Linked DNA regions of Drosophila melanogaster. The protein of the gene in region 1 interacts with the protein of each later gene in a pairwise test. Each region holds a gene or a part of one and is shown in the gene's direction. Other genes may lie near its edges.

The links.
Region 2: the proteins of CG10164 (region 1) and CG7488 interact in a two-hybrid assay, tested with the Drosophila melanogaster proteins (one large-scale study listed by BioGRID).
Region 3: the proteins of CG10164 (region 1) and CG9331 interact in a two-hybrid assay, tested with the Drosophila melanogaster proteins (one large-scale study listed by BioGRID).

Annotation. Positions count from the first base shown.
Region 1 is NT_033777.3:23,553,613-23,558,952, reverse strand, and holds CG10164 (uncharacterized protein), read left to right. Parts: upstream 1-2,009; 5' UTR 2,010-2,720; intron 2,721-2,940; 5' UTR 2,941-2,945; coding exon 2,946-4,106; 3' UTR 4,107-4,630; downstream 4,631-5,340.
Region 2 is NT_033777.3:12,993,610-12,997,587, forward strand, and holds CG7488 (uncharacterized protein), read left to right. Parts: upstream 1-2,010; 5' UTR 2,011-2,081; coding exon 2,082-3,015; intron 3,016-3,072; coding exon 3,073-3,260; 3' UTR 3,261-3,312; downstream 3,313-3,978. Other genes in the region: yellow-f2, read right to left, coding at 55-710, 819-1,208, 1,325-1,496; CG17327 (uncharacterized protein), read right to left, coding at 3,313-3,732; CG44194 (uncharacterized protein), read right to left, coding at 3,716-3,913.
Region 3 is NT_033779.5:20,821,720-20,828,386, forward strand, and holds CG9331 (uncharacterized protein), read left to right. Parts: upstream 1-1,922; 5' UTR 1,923-2,396; intron 2,397-2,714; exon of another isoform or gene 2,715-3,005; intron 3,006-3,552; 5' UTR 3,553-3,701; coding exon 3,702-3,793; exon of another isoform or gene 3,794-3,856; coding exon of another isoform or gene 3,857-3,948; coding exon 3,949-4,368; intron 4,369-4,913; coding exon 4,914-5,251; intron 5,252-5,312; coding exon 5,313-5,438; intron 5,439-5,777; coding exon 5,778-5,896; 3' UTR 5,897-6,005; downstream 6,006-6,667.

The DNA of each region.
Region 1 (5,340 bases):
TATTAAAAACCAACGAACTATTGATAAAAATAGAAAACGAGAGGGAGCCATCATTGAAATAGCGGAGATTTGGTCCAAATTGACATTAGAATTTGCACAAACTTTGGTAAGGTCAATACCAAAAAGACTTCAAGCAGTTATTGATGCCAAAGGTGGTGTTACAAAATATTAGTATTGTATTTATATAAAATAAAGAAATTCTTATGTTGAAATTAGATGTTAAGCTGAAATTTACTAAATTAAGTTGAGTGAAAATACTTTTGAAGCGCAATAAACATGTGAAAATACTATTGACAACTTGCATGCATATTTTCTTTTGCTTTAAGCTTTGTACTATGAACCGTTATCTTTCGTATTTCTTTTCGACTACCTTCTGCATAGATCAAGCTAAGCGATAAGAACTATTTCAGGCAAATCGGACAACAACAAGAAGAAATATAACAAAAAGAAGTTGAAGTTTGCAAATATTGTGCGTTGTGAAAATACTTTTGACCACCTCTGTATGTTTTCCCAGAGCCAACGAACTGAACTTGGTAAGTGTTTATTAAAGGACTTTGCCACAAAAGGACTAATCATTGGATAATCAAAAAATGATTGAACAAGTGTTAAAAATATTTTATAGGTAATCATTTTTCTCATGTTACTGAAAGTTGCAAGACTAGCGAACATATTTCAGTAATTTAAAGTGCCACACATCCATTGTTCAACATTTGTTTTTATTAGAGTTTTCCGAACTCAGCTGCCGGTGTAGTTTTACTTTTTCCTGTCCCTTCTGCCTCGTAAGTAAGGAAAACAAATAAATAAATTTCAGTTCTGGCCAGGGCACTCACTCTCACACACACACATAGCCACATGTGGAAATGTGTGTGTGAGGTTGCCTTTCATAAATTTGATATGTATGCGAATTCCTTTCGGTTGTGTGGTTGGGGTTTTGTTTTTTGTCAAGCGAAACCCATTTCCTGGGACTCACATGCTGCCACCAGGTTTCATCTACATTTGCAATTATTTTATGCTCCGCATTTGCCATTTCGTCTTTAATTAGATTTCCTGCCCAACCCCTAGCACAAATTTGCACTTGCCTTTGATGGGGCTTTCATTAGCCCGGCCTTGCGTGCCGTTTGTCTTGCTGGACGATAATTCCACTTTGGCGAACAAGGGCTGGCCAAAAAACACTTTAAGCCCTCTTCGGCTGGCTCACATGCATTTGCTATTGGGCTCTCGGTGTCATGCTGCGACATGCACTACTCGCCACGAAAACATGCAATTTGCAATGGCCATTTGCGCGACCATCAGTCAGTGGGACGCTAGAAACTTTAATTGCCCGCACACGTTTTAGCAAGCTAAGAAAGCTCGATGGAAAACACTGAGTAAAACTCGACAAAATCGCACTCGCCGCAAATGTGTTTTCGCGCCTTAGTTTTGGCCAAACTCTGACACACGAACGTGGACCTCAGACACCGAATGCCACTCGATATAATAGCCTTTCACCACGACGACGACCGCCAAGCACGTCCTTTCGCCAGCTCGTAACGAATTCAACTGAATCGCCACGGCCAGGAACAGCTCGATTTGTTTATGAATCGTCGTGTGCGCTTCGAGCCGAGTCCTCGGAACTTATTGTTCTGGGCGGCAGAGAGAGCTTTTTAGTCCTGTGAGTGGGGCTGCGAATATCGTAAAGTTAAGAGAAAGGGCATTTCTAGTGCTCTGCCCTTCACGCTCAGTTAAGAATTAAATTCTTGGTATGATACTTACTGCTTTACTTTCAAATTTTTGCTTTGCTTTAATTTGCTTTGTTTTAAAAAAGCATTTACTCTCACAATTTTTAGGGAAATCGTAGTTTTGAGTTCAGAGTTGATTATTAAAAATATAAATTCTTTATACAATTTAAGAAAGAAATTGCATATATTTATTCGTTTTCTGCTGTAATGAGTGAGAAAGTATTAGATGGAGAACAACATTTTCGTTTTCTTATTTTTACAATATAATTTAAAGCATTGCCGTAATTGTCAGGCGCAGTGACTTTCGAAGAACCATTTTGAATATCAAAATTTGGGAACACCAGCTCCCGGAATACAGGATTGTCCATTCCTATAGCTCCACATAGATGATCTAAATTGAACAGAGTACGCCTTTCCCCAAGTAGCAGGGGCCCTATCCGTATTCCTGGTCCCATTCTAGACACAAACAAAAACATTCACAGCAGTCGAACAGACAGCCCAAAGACACTCCCACACCAGCTGTGTGTATGCGGTTTAGTTGGCCAACCGCAAAATTCTTGGCAAACAAAATAAAGAAAACTAACTTGGGCCGAAGCAGAGCAGATCCAAGCGGCAACGGAAATTGTTAACCTTTGGGGATATCAAACATTTACGATTGCGTGGCAGCGGCAGCAACATTTAAGTTTTTATCAGCACAAAATAAAGTTTTGGTTTACGGATTGTGTTCCTGTCCGCCAACGCTCCTCCTACTATCCACCACTTTTTGGCCAGAGGCAGCTACAAGTGCCCAGGAGCCAAGACAGGAGCAAAATTCAGGAGCAGAAGCTGGATCAGGGGCTGAAGGTTCGTCCCTGTTGATTCTGGGGCACGCAAAACTTTTATCCTTTTCAATTTCGTTTTTCTTCGCCGAGTACTTTTGAGGGATTTAAATTTCTGTTTGCAGCCGAGCCAACAGCGAAACAACAACCGTGGGAGTGGCAGCATCGAGTTCGTGGCGACCAGGTGAGTGTTTCTTGTTGGCCTAATCACGGCTTTGCCGACTTGGCCACAATCAAGCACAATGCGATTGGCGCTGCTAATTTGACTTGAATGATACATAAAAAGGTGTACGAAAAAAAATTAGGAGGCTTATGTGAAAATGTGATGGTAGAAAATAAGTATATTTTTGATTAAATATTTTTAACAAATAGTATTTTTTAGTCTAAAAATAATTATTTTTCAGCCGTCATGAAGAAGAAGAGTCGTAGAGATCGGACACCAAAAGTAGAACAACCTGAACCATCGAGAGTTGTCAACACGGAGCCTATTCGACTGAACGTGGAACCCCAATCCCAAGAGATAGATGACCAGGCTGCACCATTTATTTTGGTAGACTGTGCGAAATATGAGGATCGTTCAGATTTGGAAGCAATGCTTAGTTCCATAGAAAAGGAACGGATGAAAAAGGTTCAGGCAGATATAGAGCAGCAATATTTTCCCCTCCTGGAGGATGAAGAACCACCTCCAGAATTAGATATGCCTATAAACCTAAGCTCTCAAGCATTGGCTGTACTGAATGATGCAGATAATGAGCGCCGCTTTAAAGAGGATCTGGAGAGCCTTAGTATTGCTGGACTGGAAGAGAAAGATACATCCATTAGCATTACCAACATGAAAATAGAAGACAGCAAACTATTGTTTCGGACTATGCCAGGTATGAATCAGATTTGCTGCACGCTAGAGCAGATGAAAAATGTTCATGGGAAAATTGGACCAGCAGAACCAACTCCACAGGCACGTTGCACCAGCTTGATTCCACTTTCAGGCCTTCGCCGGCAAGACACCTTCGAAATTAAACGTAAAAAGAACCAAAAGATTAGATATCCCGAGGTTTCCACCAAATCAGCAATTAGCGAAAGGAAACATCTACCATTAATTGCCAAGGGAGGAAAATGTGAGAAAGTTATCTCAGAGACTGATAAGATTTTCAGCCAGATTGGCGATCTTCTCGTGAAACTGCAGCTCCAACACGAGGGCAGCAAAGTCCTGAACAAGGGATCCTCTTATTCCTACATGGTGAACATTAAGCCAGCTGGAGGTGCATCCAATTGTTCAGTTTATGCGCTTACAAAACTCAAATCGCACGAAGTAGAGGAGACGCATGCCGAAAATCTAAGAACTTCTCACGCTCCATTGATCAACATTTTATACCCTGGTCGTGGTGGACTTATGGAGACTTCTGAGTTGTCCACGACCGCACGATGTATCGATGGAAGCTCCATTGGGTCGATGTCCCTTCGCGAAACGCCGTCCTCCAAGATCAAACCATCATTTTTACGCAAAAGGCCCAGTTCCCATCTAAGGGCACCTAACCCTGTCAAATTTTGCCACGGCAGGAAGAAAAATTAGGCCGCTTGGTAACCATTCCGCAAATTATTTGTTCGAAAGCCATTTATTTTCTATCGACATTGGAATCTCCAAATAATGCTTACAAATTCATATGTTGGTCATTCAAAAGGATCTTGAATGGATATTTTATGCAAAAATATATCAGTTGCCAGAGTCTAATGAACGGTAATAATTCAACAAATGCATACAATGCGGCCATAATATAAAATATTAAGTGATACAAAACAAATATATATTTTTATAAGCCATTAATTAAAAAATAACCTACATTTTGGTTATTAATGGTCTCTTGGATTTATTTCCACTAGGGTCAATTAATAAAATTGCAAGTCTGAAACCCAGTTTAAAAGATCAATATGCTGTTTTCGATTGAATTGAATTGTACAGCGCAAACAATATTTGTTTTTTCTTTATTCATCGCAAATAAACAAGTGGTTTCAAGTGGTTTATTTATTTGCCATTTTAAATTCATCACAAAATGCACAATAATTATATAGATGTTATCGGCATTCACATTTTCAATTACCCTCGTATTTTAATTTATTGTGTTGTAATTAAAGCGATTTAATCATATTCAATCGCCAGAGTCCTCCAATCAAAACTCGTGCACCTTTCTGGAGTGCTTCCCTGCATAAAAGTTGCATCTTGTCCACTTCCTGGAGGAGTTGTCTAATTGCATGGCCACGCACTTTCATTGCTCATTTCCGAGTTGCCCTCAAGTGCGTGGTTGCAGCTCATTTTGTTCGGTTTGCACAATTGTGGCCAAAGTGTTTTCAACTTTCTTCTGTCAATGCGCCCGGAGGTCGAATCCGAAGTCCGTGCCTCACCCGAAAATCCCCTCTTTCGGTTTGGGTTTGGTGAAATGTCGGCCAAGTGCTGGGCTTGGCTTGTGCCAGTTGGCAGACGTCCTGCTGCAGGACCTTAAAAACCTGCCTGCCTCCTGTCATTTGTCGTTGGCCAGAAATTGCAAGATTGACTACTGGGCTGCAGAGGGTGAACAAGTGGGTGGGCACAAAAGTTTTCATTAGTTTTAATTAAATCCCAAACAGCATTTCCATGCTGCACTCTTTCGCTCGCTCGTTCTCTGAGGCGTGTGCTCTTTCGAGCCTTTGTCAATGAGTTTTCCCAACAAAACCGAATTAAAAACACATCAAAATTAATGACACTCCGCCCCGGGATGGCCAGGAGCCGGGAGCTGGTCAAAAGGAAGTTGCCATTGCCTCCACTGCCACTC
Region 2 (3,978 bases), about 11 Mb from region 1:
ATGAGATGTATAACTTTTTTTCTTCAACTTTTTTATCCAAAACCATTTGCTTACCGACAAGTCGCTGGGATAAATCATATCCTCGGCATTGGAATCCACAGAGCCATAGTTTTCCGCCGAGATGGGCTTGCTGGTCTTCCAGCAGCCCACTCCGTTGCGCTGGATCTCATCGAAGAAGATCACCCCAGTCCCAGGATCGTAAGCGTGCATCGTAGACTGGGTGGACGGACCACGGCTTCCGAGTACCCGGAAATCGTTCCCATGATCGGAACGTGCGGCGTTGGATTCCTGCTGCAGAACCCGGTTGGAGACCACAAACTCATTCGTACTGGCCATGGGATGGAAGTAGGCATCGCGGCTCCCATCCAGTTTCTGGGCCCCCAAAGTTATTGAGAAGATGCCATCGTCCCAGCGGAAGGTCTGGCCGCCAATGCTGAGATCCCCGGACAGCGGATCGAAGTTGAAGTAGTTGTGCTCGAAGGACCAGATTCTATCGTTTCGCAGGTGATAGACGTACAGGCGCCGGTACACCAGATCCGGAATATAGGCGTAGGCATCGCCACACTGACCCGCCTTCACATCCACGGTGATGCTGGCCAATCCGCGACCCGTCTCAGCTATACTCTCCGGAACATCGAAGCGCTTCAGCACCTGATCCGTGGCCAAGTCAACTACCCAAATGCTGGGACGGCGGATCTGTTGGCGGTTATCTGGATATGAGAATCATGATTGAGTTTTTTATATTCTTGGTCACCAAATTAGATTAATACGGATCGATCCTGATCTTTTATATTACATGTCAATACATGCCAACTCACTTGGATACTCCAGCATTCCCGTGTCGATAAACCAGAGACGCTGGCATGCATCCACGGAGGTTCTGTAGACGGACACCAGATTCTCCGCACTCGCGTTGAACTGATTAAGCGCAAAGTTGGGATAGGCCCGCAGCTTGGGGCTGCGATTCGATCCGTCCTCGGCCAGATCGATGTAATTCAAGGTGGATGGGATGCCCACCCGTCGACGAGGCATCGTGACAAAGAGGCGGCCGCGGAAGTGAGTGGCTCCCATGGGCACGTTATTGTACGGAATGTAGGAGGCGTTGGGGTCGTCGCTGTCGGCGCGGGAGCTGACCACTACCGGTGTATCGCGGGAGGTCATAATCTTACGCTTTCGACGAGAATACTTTCCAGGAAAGACAACCGGAGCTAGTTGAACAATAAAAAAATAGTACATAAGTAAATACCAATAAATCTATCTAACAAGGCTCGCGAGATTGCTATTGCTGAATGAGAACTAGTAATATCATATTATGAGTACTAACCTGAAAAGCTGGGCCTGTCTTTCCTTCCGCCCGAGCTTAGATGGCCATCTCCGCGATTGTAAAAGTCCATCTGCTTCCATCGGAAGACCTCTATCATGGGATCAGCATCTGCCAAGGAAAGCAGCTGTAACCCTGAGATTAAACTTAGAATCAAAAATTGGGGCGATAACATTGCTCGGTTTTCCTGGGGAACTATAATCTAAGTTCGCCTTGCCAAGTTGAGGCCTCAATAGCGACTGAAAGCCAATTTGTTCCCAATTGGAATCTATTCTCACAGCGGTTCGAACGCAAATTATTAAAATTGATAAGAAAAGCGCGACTCTCACAAGTTCTCAAACCGGTTTTGTGACTTGTTAGCCTGATAATAATCGTTAGTAAAAATCTAATTATTTACATACAAATGGAATTATAAACAGCTTTCAGCTTTTCTTTCTTTTTATGTTGTATACATATATAAATCAATCACAAAAACATGAGAAGAACATTTAGTTGTAAGAAACGTTACGCTATTCGTTTATGAAAGCATTGCTGTTCTAGCAATATATTCTCTAGCAATTAATAATAATTAACCCAAAAATATAAATTTAATGCATAATTTCTAAACTTAGAAAACTAAAGCAACAAATTTCGCGCCAAAAGACTTAACGGCGATTTATTAAATTAATCAAATCACTACCAACAATCGATAAGAGGTATCGATATACAAAGCTGTTGTGTAAATCGTAATTTATTTAGCGTAAACAGTGTAAATAGCAATATGCGCTATAATCTGTTAGCCAGTTCGTTAAAATTGCTGAATAGCACGAAAACCCACAATTTGTTCTTGGTGAACGTGCGCAGCTTGACCGGCGCCGCCCACACCAACGATGCAGTGGCTCCGACCACGCGCCCACCGCCCGCAGAATCGAGGAATCCCGGAGAGGAGCAACGATCACTGCACATCGCGGTAATTGGAGTGCCCAATGTGGGAAAGAGCACGTTCATCAACAACACGGTGAACCACCGAGTGTGTCCCACCTCGGCCAAGGTGCACACCACTCGGCAGTCGAACACGGCCATTTACACCACCGGCCAGACGCAGTTGGTCTTTTACGATACGCCGGGCCTGGTCACGCAACATGAGATTCGTCGGCACCACCTGGACCAGAACTTTAAGAGTGCCTACCGCCATGCCATACAGCATGCGGACATCATCGCCGTGGTGCACGATGCCTCAAATGCCTGGACTAGGAAGGAACTGCATCCCACTGTCTTGGATACGCTGAAGGCGTATAGCAACCTGCCCAGTTTCCTGGTGCTGAATAAGATAGACGCCCTGAAGTCGAAGCGTTTGCTGTTGGATCTGATCAAGACACTCACCAACGACACCTTGACAGTTGGCAAGCGGGAAGTCCAGGCAAAAAGTGCTCTCGCCAAGGAAATAAGAATCAACAAGCGGGAGTCTAGCTGGAGCCATTTTAGCGACGTGTTTCTTGTTTCCGCCTTGACCGGCAATGGGCTGCAGGAGATGCAGAACTACCTGGTGGGCCAGGCTAAGCCCAGGGATTGGAAATACCCAGCTGACATTCATACGGACTCCAGCCCAGAAGCATTAATTGTGGAGAGTGTGCGGGCTCGTCTGCTGGACTACTTGCCGCAGGAGATACCCTACAACCTTAAGTGCGAGATCGAGTACTACAGTGTGGAAAAAAGTGAGTACTTCTGTACACTCGTAAAGAAATCCTTTTCAATTCCGATTTTCTTTGCAGATGTTGTCTACACATCCGTGCAGGTTCAGTGCCCCACCACGCGAATCGAGCGCCTAATCTGTGGCGAGGGTAATGGCAAGCTGCGGCAGATCACGGAGCGAGTTACATCAGACCTGGTGGAGATGTTCGGCCAAGCAGTGTCCCTTACTATATCTACAGTTTCCAAGGGCAAGAAGACCGCCGCTTGAGCACTTGTTGATTACTTGTACTTTATTTGTAACGTTGCATAAACCTAAGAGTTCACAAAAGCTTCAAATGCGCCACCAATTTGTCTAGATCTTCGGCAGGGGCTGGACCCAGTCCGAGGACCGTTGCTGTCCCAGATTCCAGCTGAGTGCGCCCGGCATCCCTCACCAAGGCGGCCACCACGTTCGACTCTTGGGCCTGTCGCTCCAGGGAGTTTAGCTGCTCGAAGTTGTCCACGCGCAGCACTATCTTCGGCTGTCCCAGGCGACACCAACGCTGCAGAATGGCGTTCTGCAGCTTGGTTCCCTGCACAGAGCTCTGGTAGCACATGACCGCCGCATGGGCGCACTGGGCCGCTGTCTTTCCCTTGGACATCTTTAGGTCGGTTCGGACCACCAGCGCCAGTTTGGTGGACTTGCCGAAGGCCAAACCGTTGCTGAGGAACTTCTGCAGGATGCTACTTGACGTGGGCATACTTCTGGCTCTGCTGCTCCACGTACTTCTGCATGCACGCCCGGAACTCTTTCACCTTCTCCTGGCAAGCCCTCCAGTCGCCCGTCTCGGCGATACACTCCTGCACCTTGTAGTGAAGCTCTATGCAGCCGGTCTTCTTCAGCATTAGTTCCACGGGATCCTGGTCCGTCGATGCGGACATTTTCTTCTCCACTTCGCCGGCTGAATTCGTTCGTTTCGAAATTACGAAATTCGGTCAGGGTTGTC
Region 3 (6,667 bases), on another chromosome or scaffold:
CTCTCTCTTCTAGAGCTCGTGGTGGAGCTCACTCCCGCTCCCGCTCTCGTGCTCGTTATATTCATAGAGCTGTGCCGTGTGTAGGCACCGCCATCGACTTGGGGCCCACCACCACACGCGCAGACACACAGACACAGCTCGCTCTCGCTTTTTGTCTTCCGTCGGGTTATCTCGCTGCTGGCGACTCTGGGCGCCTGTTCCGTTATATCGCGTAGAGGGACCTGCCTCAATGTTGCGCGTCAATTTTAGGGAGCCTACACCATAAAAATCGGTGACGGTTGGCCACTTTTTTTGTGGCCCGGCACGTCCCACTTTTTTTTCATCTTGGCCTTCTCGACAGGCCGTTGAGTGGAGTTGGGCGCTCCAAAAGCGCCTGCGCGGAGTGCGCGACGCCTCGCTTTGCAGCTTTGTCGCTCGGCCGCCATTTGCGATTCCCGCTGCTGGTGTCGCCAAATATGAAGCAAGCAGAATGCGGCGCAAGCAGTACGGATATGTTTGTGGATGCTGCTTAGGTGTCTGCAACTTGCCCTTGACAGTTGACTTTAACCCGCTGAGTGCTGTGCGAAGGCAATCCCAATCTTACCTTGTGAATGCAATTAGCAAGGTTCTAAGTTCTAAGTTAAAATGTTTGTAAATTACTTTTTAAGAAATGTGAACAAGTACTACAATGTGTATTTTTGGTGACACATTAACTTTTATTGCATTAAGCATTATCAGGAATAGTGCTTAGAAGTGCCTAAAAGTATGCCCACTTTGTTCTTAGTTGGGAACTGAACTAAGTAAACGTTTTCATTTTCAGTTTCCGATTATATCGAAACTGTAGTAATTTATTAGCCTAAAACGAAGACCTAGTGTTAGGCTTTCTAATATCCCAACTTATAAATATTATTTACATACATATGTACATATGTACATTGTATTTTCATATGTTCAGTGGAGAGATCGAGAGATGCGCTTCTCAAATTCCATTTTTTCCGTTATACCCCGTCTTTCACTGTCCGCCTCCACTATCTCTATCTCTCCGCATTTTCTCTTCTCTGTCCGCCGCACACACTCTCGTTGGCGTCTGTCTGCTGTCATCAGTTGCTGATTACTTGTTCACCAAACCGCAGTTTAGCGCTGGCAATGCCGGCGGCAGCAGACGTAACGACGACGACGGTCGCGTCTGATAGACAGCTGTCTCCAATTGGAATGTTGTCTCCGGTTACGTCAGTCAAAATGACGCATCGTGTTTTGGTAACAGGAAAGCATAAAAGCGAGAAGAGCACCAATGTGCGGCACTCTGCTGCACAATGGCCGCGAAACAAAAGAACAAGGCACGAAGAAAATGTGTAAACCGTTGTGGGGGACGAAGAAAAAGCAGGCACAGACGCTGCGCCGCGTCACGACAACAAAAAAATCCACCCTCGCACAAAGCGCTAATATTTTGTTGGTTTTTCGTTTCGCTTTCAATTAGGCAGAGTGCAGTGTCTGGGCCAAATCTCAAAGGTAAGAGGAAGTGCACAACTTTCAGTGAAGCCAATCTAGGCAAACAAAAAGCCAAACTGTCCGTTTCGATATTTCACTAGAGCGGTATTATGGTTAAAACTATGTTAAAATAGTTCTATACTTAAATCGTAAATCAGTAAAATTTAGATTAGTCAATTTTCGTATAGTAACAATATCAATAATTTTATTGTTTTTAACATTTGGAATATCTTATAAATATGTATATGTATTATCATGTCTATGAATATATTCAGTTCTAACCAGTAAAATATTTGATTACTCCTTACACGTAGACGTAAAGTAATTTAGTATTTTGTTTTAAGTTTCTGTGCCTTTTGTCGGAAGTTCTAGCTAGTTAATTCGCGCATCACTGCCAGCGACGCTAACGCCAACGCGAACGGTTCTTGCCGCCGCTTTCACACAGACGAAAAAGCGCAGTGTGCGTTGGCCAACGCTGTGCGCCTGCTGTTCTGCGGACAAAATTTGAGCAGATCCGCTCACAAAAAAACGTACTTAACTGCGAAATAGTGCTGGTCGTGTAGGTTCCACGTTCCAACCGACTGCAGTGCTTTGGCTCCATGGCACCACGGCTAAATGGCCAAATGGCTCCACTGCTCCGGTGGCTCCAACTGCGGTGGTGCCCATTCCAGTTGGAAATTGCATGCGAGCACATGGGAAAAGTCCCCAACTGGTATTTCGAGCAGGCGCACAGCTTTCCCAACTGCTCACTCTCCCAAAGAGTTCCGTCTCTGTCTCGTTCGCACCGATAAGGAGCCTTTCGAGATAAGCAGCTGGAAAGGGACGGACTGATGGTAGCGGCAAAGCGCAGTGTGCAACGACAGAAAGGGATGCCCAATGATGGTCTAATCGGAGGGGGAATCGCTGATCGCTGATAGTACTGGAATCTGGTTGATATAACCCCAATATTATGTTAAAGAGTGAACTACATTTTTAACTGAGATTTTAGTGAGTTTCCGGCCTTTAAGGGGTGTATTTTTACGATAATAAAAGTTTGTTAGATCGCATATTGTTTTAAATATTTCATATATGTTATTTTATTTTAACGAATTTATACAATTGACTTCAAAAATATCTGTGCACCATTCCATAAAATGTAAACCGAATTAATATGTTGAAAATTACTCTCGTATTAACTCTTTTTTGGGAATTGATAATTCATTTGCGATACGATATGAGTTCTATATAAGGCTTAAGCTTTGGGGCCAATACTTCAGTCGTGCGGCAAACGCAAAGCTGAAAAGTATTCTAGTTCTATAGATCTCACGGTAAGAGAAAGTATAAAGTCTAAATAAGAGAACATAAAAATGAAATCGGATTGCGAGCTTTTATTGCATAGCCAATGGAAAAAAGTTTTAGTTAAATTTTCACGTCGGGTGCGTTTGGAGGCAGAGTGTAGCATAGTGTAAAGAACAAATTAATAATAATATAATAAAGTAGTTCTCTTGTGACATTTGGTGTCGTAAACAGTTTGGTTAAGAGAGTTTTTAAGAGTGACGGTTTGTTCTTTGGTGACATTGAGTGTAATTAATATCAAAATATTACTGTGGGTTTTTCCATTCCCTCCCACAAACAAACAAACAATGCTAAAAAACCATCAAATTGTCAAAAGTGTTGAGTGGAATGAGTCGTGGAAAAATGATTAGATGCGAACATATCTGAAAGTTTTTGCTCGCGGAATTTCGCCATAAAAATCTCGTGCGTCTGTGCGGAGATAGCGACCGTATAACCGCGAAATTTAAGTACTTTAAAAAACATGGGAGATAGATGTATTTTAGCTACTCGAAATTATTGACCGCAGTATATAATCGTATTTCCACTGAAATAATTGTCTCTGTTTTTTAGCCAAAATAATTGGCTCTTAGTCTTTGATAAATTCATCTATGTTTCGTAATTTTTTCATTACGCTCCACATGTTAAGTAAAATTAAACTTAATTTTAGAATGTTTATTTTTGCCAAATGTTATTGTTATTAACCCAGAAATAATCTTGCACCGTTCCTGATTATTGAATCCACTTCGATAAAACTCCAATATTATACCTTAGTTCTCGAACCAGCAAACCAGTTGTGCGTCTTATACATACGCCGTAGGAGAGACTGAGACTCACATCAGCTGCTCGGCGGCTTGAACGCCTACAGACATACATACATACGTACATACATATATAGGGAGAGATTTAGAGCGCGGATTATAATGCTAAACAGGTTCATTGGTTTATCGGCTGCGATCGTGGGTCGGAGCAGTCGGATCAGCGGCTTTCCGTTCTCGCCGCTCCTTAAAGCTGGGTGCGTATGCCGCTTGAGAGTTCAGTCGCTCGCGAAACACGACTTCGATCGCAATACTTCGAGATGAGATCGATTGCCACCAACTCCCTGCTGCCACTGATTGTGGCCTTGCTGATCGCCGGTAGTAATGCCTCCCTCCCACGCAGGGGCAGCAGAAATCAAAGCCAGAATCGCACCATGTCCGCTGGCAAGGCTTTCAAGGTCCTGGTGACACATCCCGAGGTTCCCCAGGAGGGCATTGATCTGCTGAAGGAGAACTGCGAGATCGTCCAGGTGCAGAGTGTTCCCATCAACCGGGCGGAGCTGCTGGAGAAAATCCGTGGCGTGGATGGCGTTCTCTGGGGTGGACACGAACCCCTCAATGCCGAGGCCCTCGATGCTGCCGGTCCCCAGCTGAAATCCATCTCCACCATGTCGGCGGGAATCGACTACGTCGATGTGCCGGAGGTAAAGAGACGTAAGATCCCGCTGGGACACACGCCCACCGTTCTCAACACCGCCGTGGCCGATTTGGCAGTGGGTCTCCTGATCGCCGCCAGTCGCCGTTTTCACGAGGGTCGCAAGACCATCGACAAGTGAGTACCACTAGTTGGTTAGTTGTGTTTGTGATGATTCATATACTTACAGAATTAATTTGAGCAATGACAAAAATAGAGTAAACCGAAATTATAATTGTCATAATTATTATTATAATTAAGCTAAACTAGGGACACTTTATTTTCAACTTAGTGTGGCCGTGAAATGTATACGCATGAATTCTCGATTAAAATTGCAAGCCGGTTCTTAAGAATACCGCCTGTCCGCTCGTCTGTCGCTTGCACTTTTGCTCTATAGCGCTCACAAGTGGACAAAGCATTATCATCAATAGGTTTTGGCTCCTCACATGCATAATGTAAAATTCTAAAGTATTGACTTTCGATTTATCTACAAACAAAAGGTACGAGCAGTTTATGTAACCGCCGCTAGGTGGCGGTGCAATAAAAAAAAGTTTTTTTTATCTTCATCTTAGCTTAGTAACAGGCATTTATCAGTATCTCGAGTATCTACAAGTATATTATATATTTTGGAAATATTCATATATCTTTCAATTTCTTAATTTGTATCTTTTGCGTTCTAAAAGTGACAAGTGGGAAAACTACCATCTTAACTGGCTGTTGGGCCAGGATATTCGTGATTCCACCGTGGGATTCTACGGCTTTGGAGGCATTGGTCAGGCTATTGCCAAGCGTTTGTCTGGATTCGACATTGACAAGGTGCTGTACACCACCCGTCGTCGTGTTCACAAGGAGATCGAGGAGGAGTTCAATGCCAAGAAAGTTGACTTCGATACCCTTCTGGCCGAGAGTGACTTCGTAGTGATCGCTTCTCCTTTGACGAAGGACACACAGGGCGTCTTTAATGCCACCGCCTTCAACAAGATGAAGCAGACTGCTGTGCTGGTTAACATTGCCAGGGGCAGTAAGTTACCAGTATTAATTGGGATTCTCGACCGATTTTAACTATTTATTTTATTCCTCAGAAATCGTCAACCAGGATGACCTCTACGAGGCTTTGAAAGCCAACCGAATCTTTTCCGCCGGACTCGACGTCACGGATCCGGAACCATTGTCGCCCAAGGACAAGCTGCTGACGCTTGACAATGTTGGTGAGTGGGAAAATGAAAATAATGTTGTAGTTTATTGATATCAGTCCTCAGGCCCACACCTAGCAAATACTCGTATTTCTGGCCCCTTATCAATATAAAGATTTTGACTTATCTCTTCAGTGGTTGACAATGACTAAAAGTATTTTGAAATTAATGGAATCTTTAAGGTTTCTTGAAGGTTACAAATAAATAGGGTAACGTTTATTCTTTCCATGTTTTATCTAATTTCTGCGTCCTTGTTGACCTCTATAATTCCCTTCTTTTGTTGATTTATTAAAACATTGTTATCTTGGTTTGTGTAATCGTATCTTGAACTAACCACTTGATGTGTTCTTTTAGTTGTCCTGCCCCATATTGGATCCGCCACGAAGCGCACCCGTGCCGACATGTCCACCATTGCTGCCCATAATGTGCTCCGCGGTTTGGCTGGGGAGCCCATGTTGTCGCCCGCCTACTAGTAAATTCAAATGGGAAATATGGCTTTCTACCGCTAACCAGTTTGGAATGTCCGCCAAACAAAGTGCGAAAGGCCGCCGATGACCTTGGCATGCCAGTAGATGTGAAAATAAAAAAAACAATTAAAAAACAAGTATTTGCTGTTGCAAATTTATTAAATTAAATATGTGGGAATCTAATCTATACCGTAAGATTAGCTCAACTGATTAATATGGAATAGGTAAAGCAATAGAATAATTGGTGCTAGAGAATGAGAAACATAATTTAAATACTAATATAGTATATCGTAGGAAATAATATTGTACGTTTTAAGAAATGAGAGCAGAAAACATTGATTTAGTAATTCGCAAAGTTTAGCTCTGCACAATTGCAAAACCTACCACTTTTCCCCAAAATGTATCGAGGACCTTCAAACTGCTGATTTCGCATCCAAAAGTCCCAGGAACGGCTGCGGGAGCTTGTCGGATCAGGATCGGAATAGGATCATCGCTTCTTAAAACTGGGTGCTTATGCCGCTTGAGAGTTCGCTCGCGAAACCCGACTTCGGTTGTAGTTTTTCAACCTGCTCCCACTGATTATGGCTTTGCTGATCGAATATAATAATTGAAGGCCCCTGGGCATGGCCCGTTGGTTTCAAGGTGCTGGGGGCGAATCCCAGGGATTACTATGTGGGCATTTATCTGCAGAAAGAGAACTGCAACTGCAACTGCTGCAACCAGCAAGAAAGCAGACCGGCGACTGAGCAGGACAGTAGCCCCATAAGGCAGTGGCTC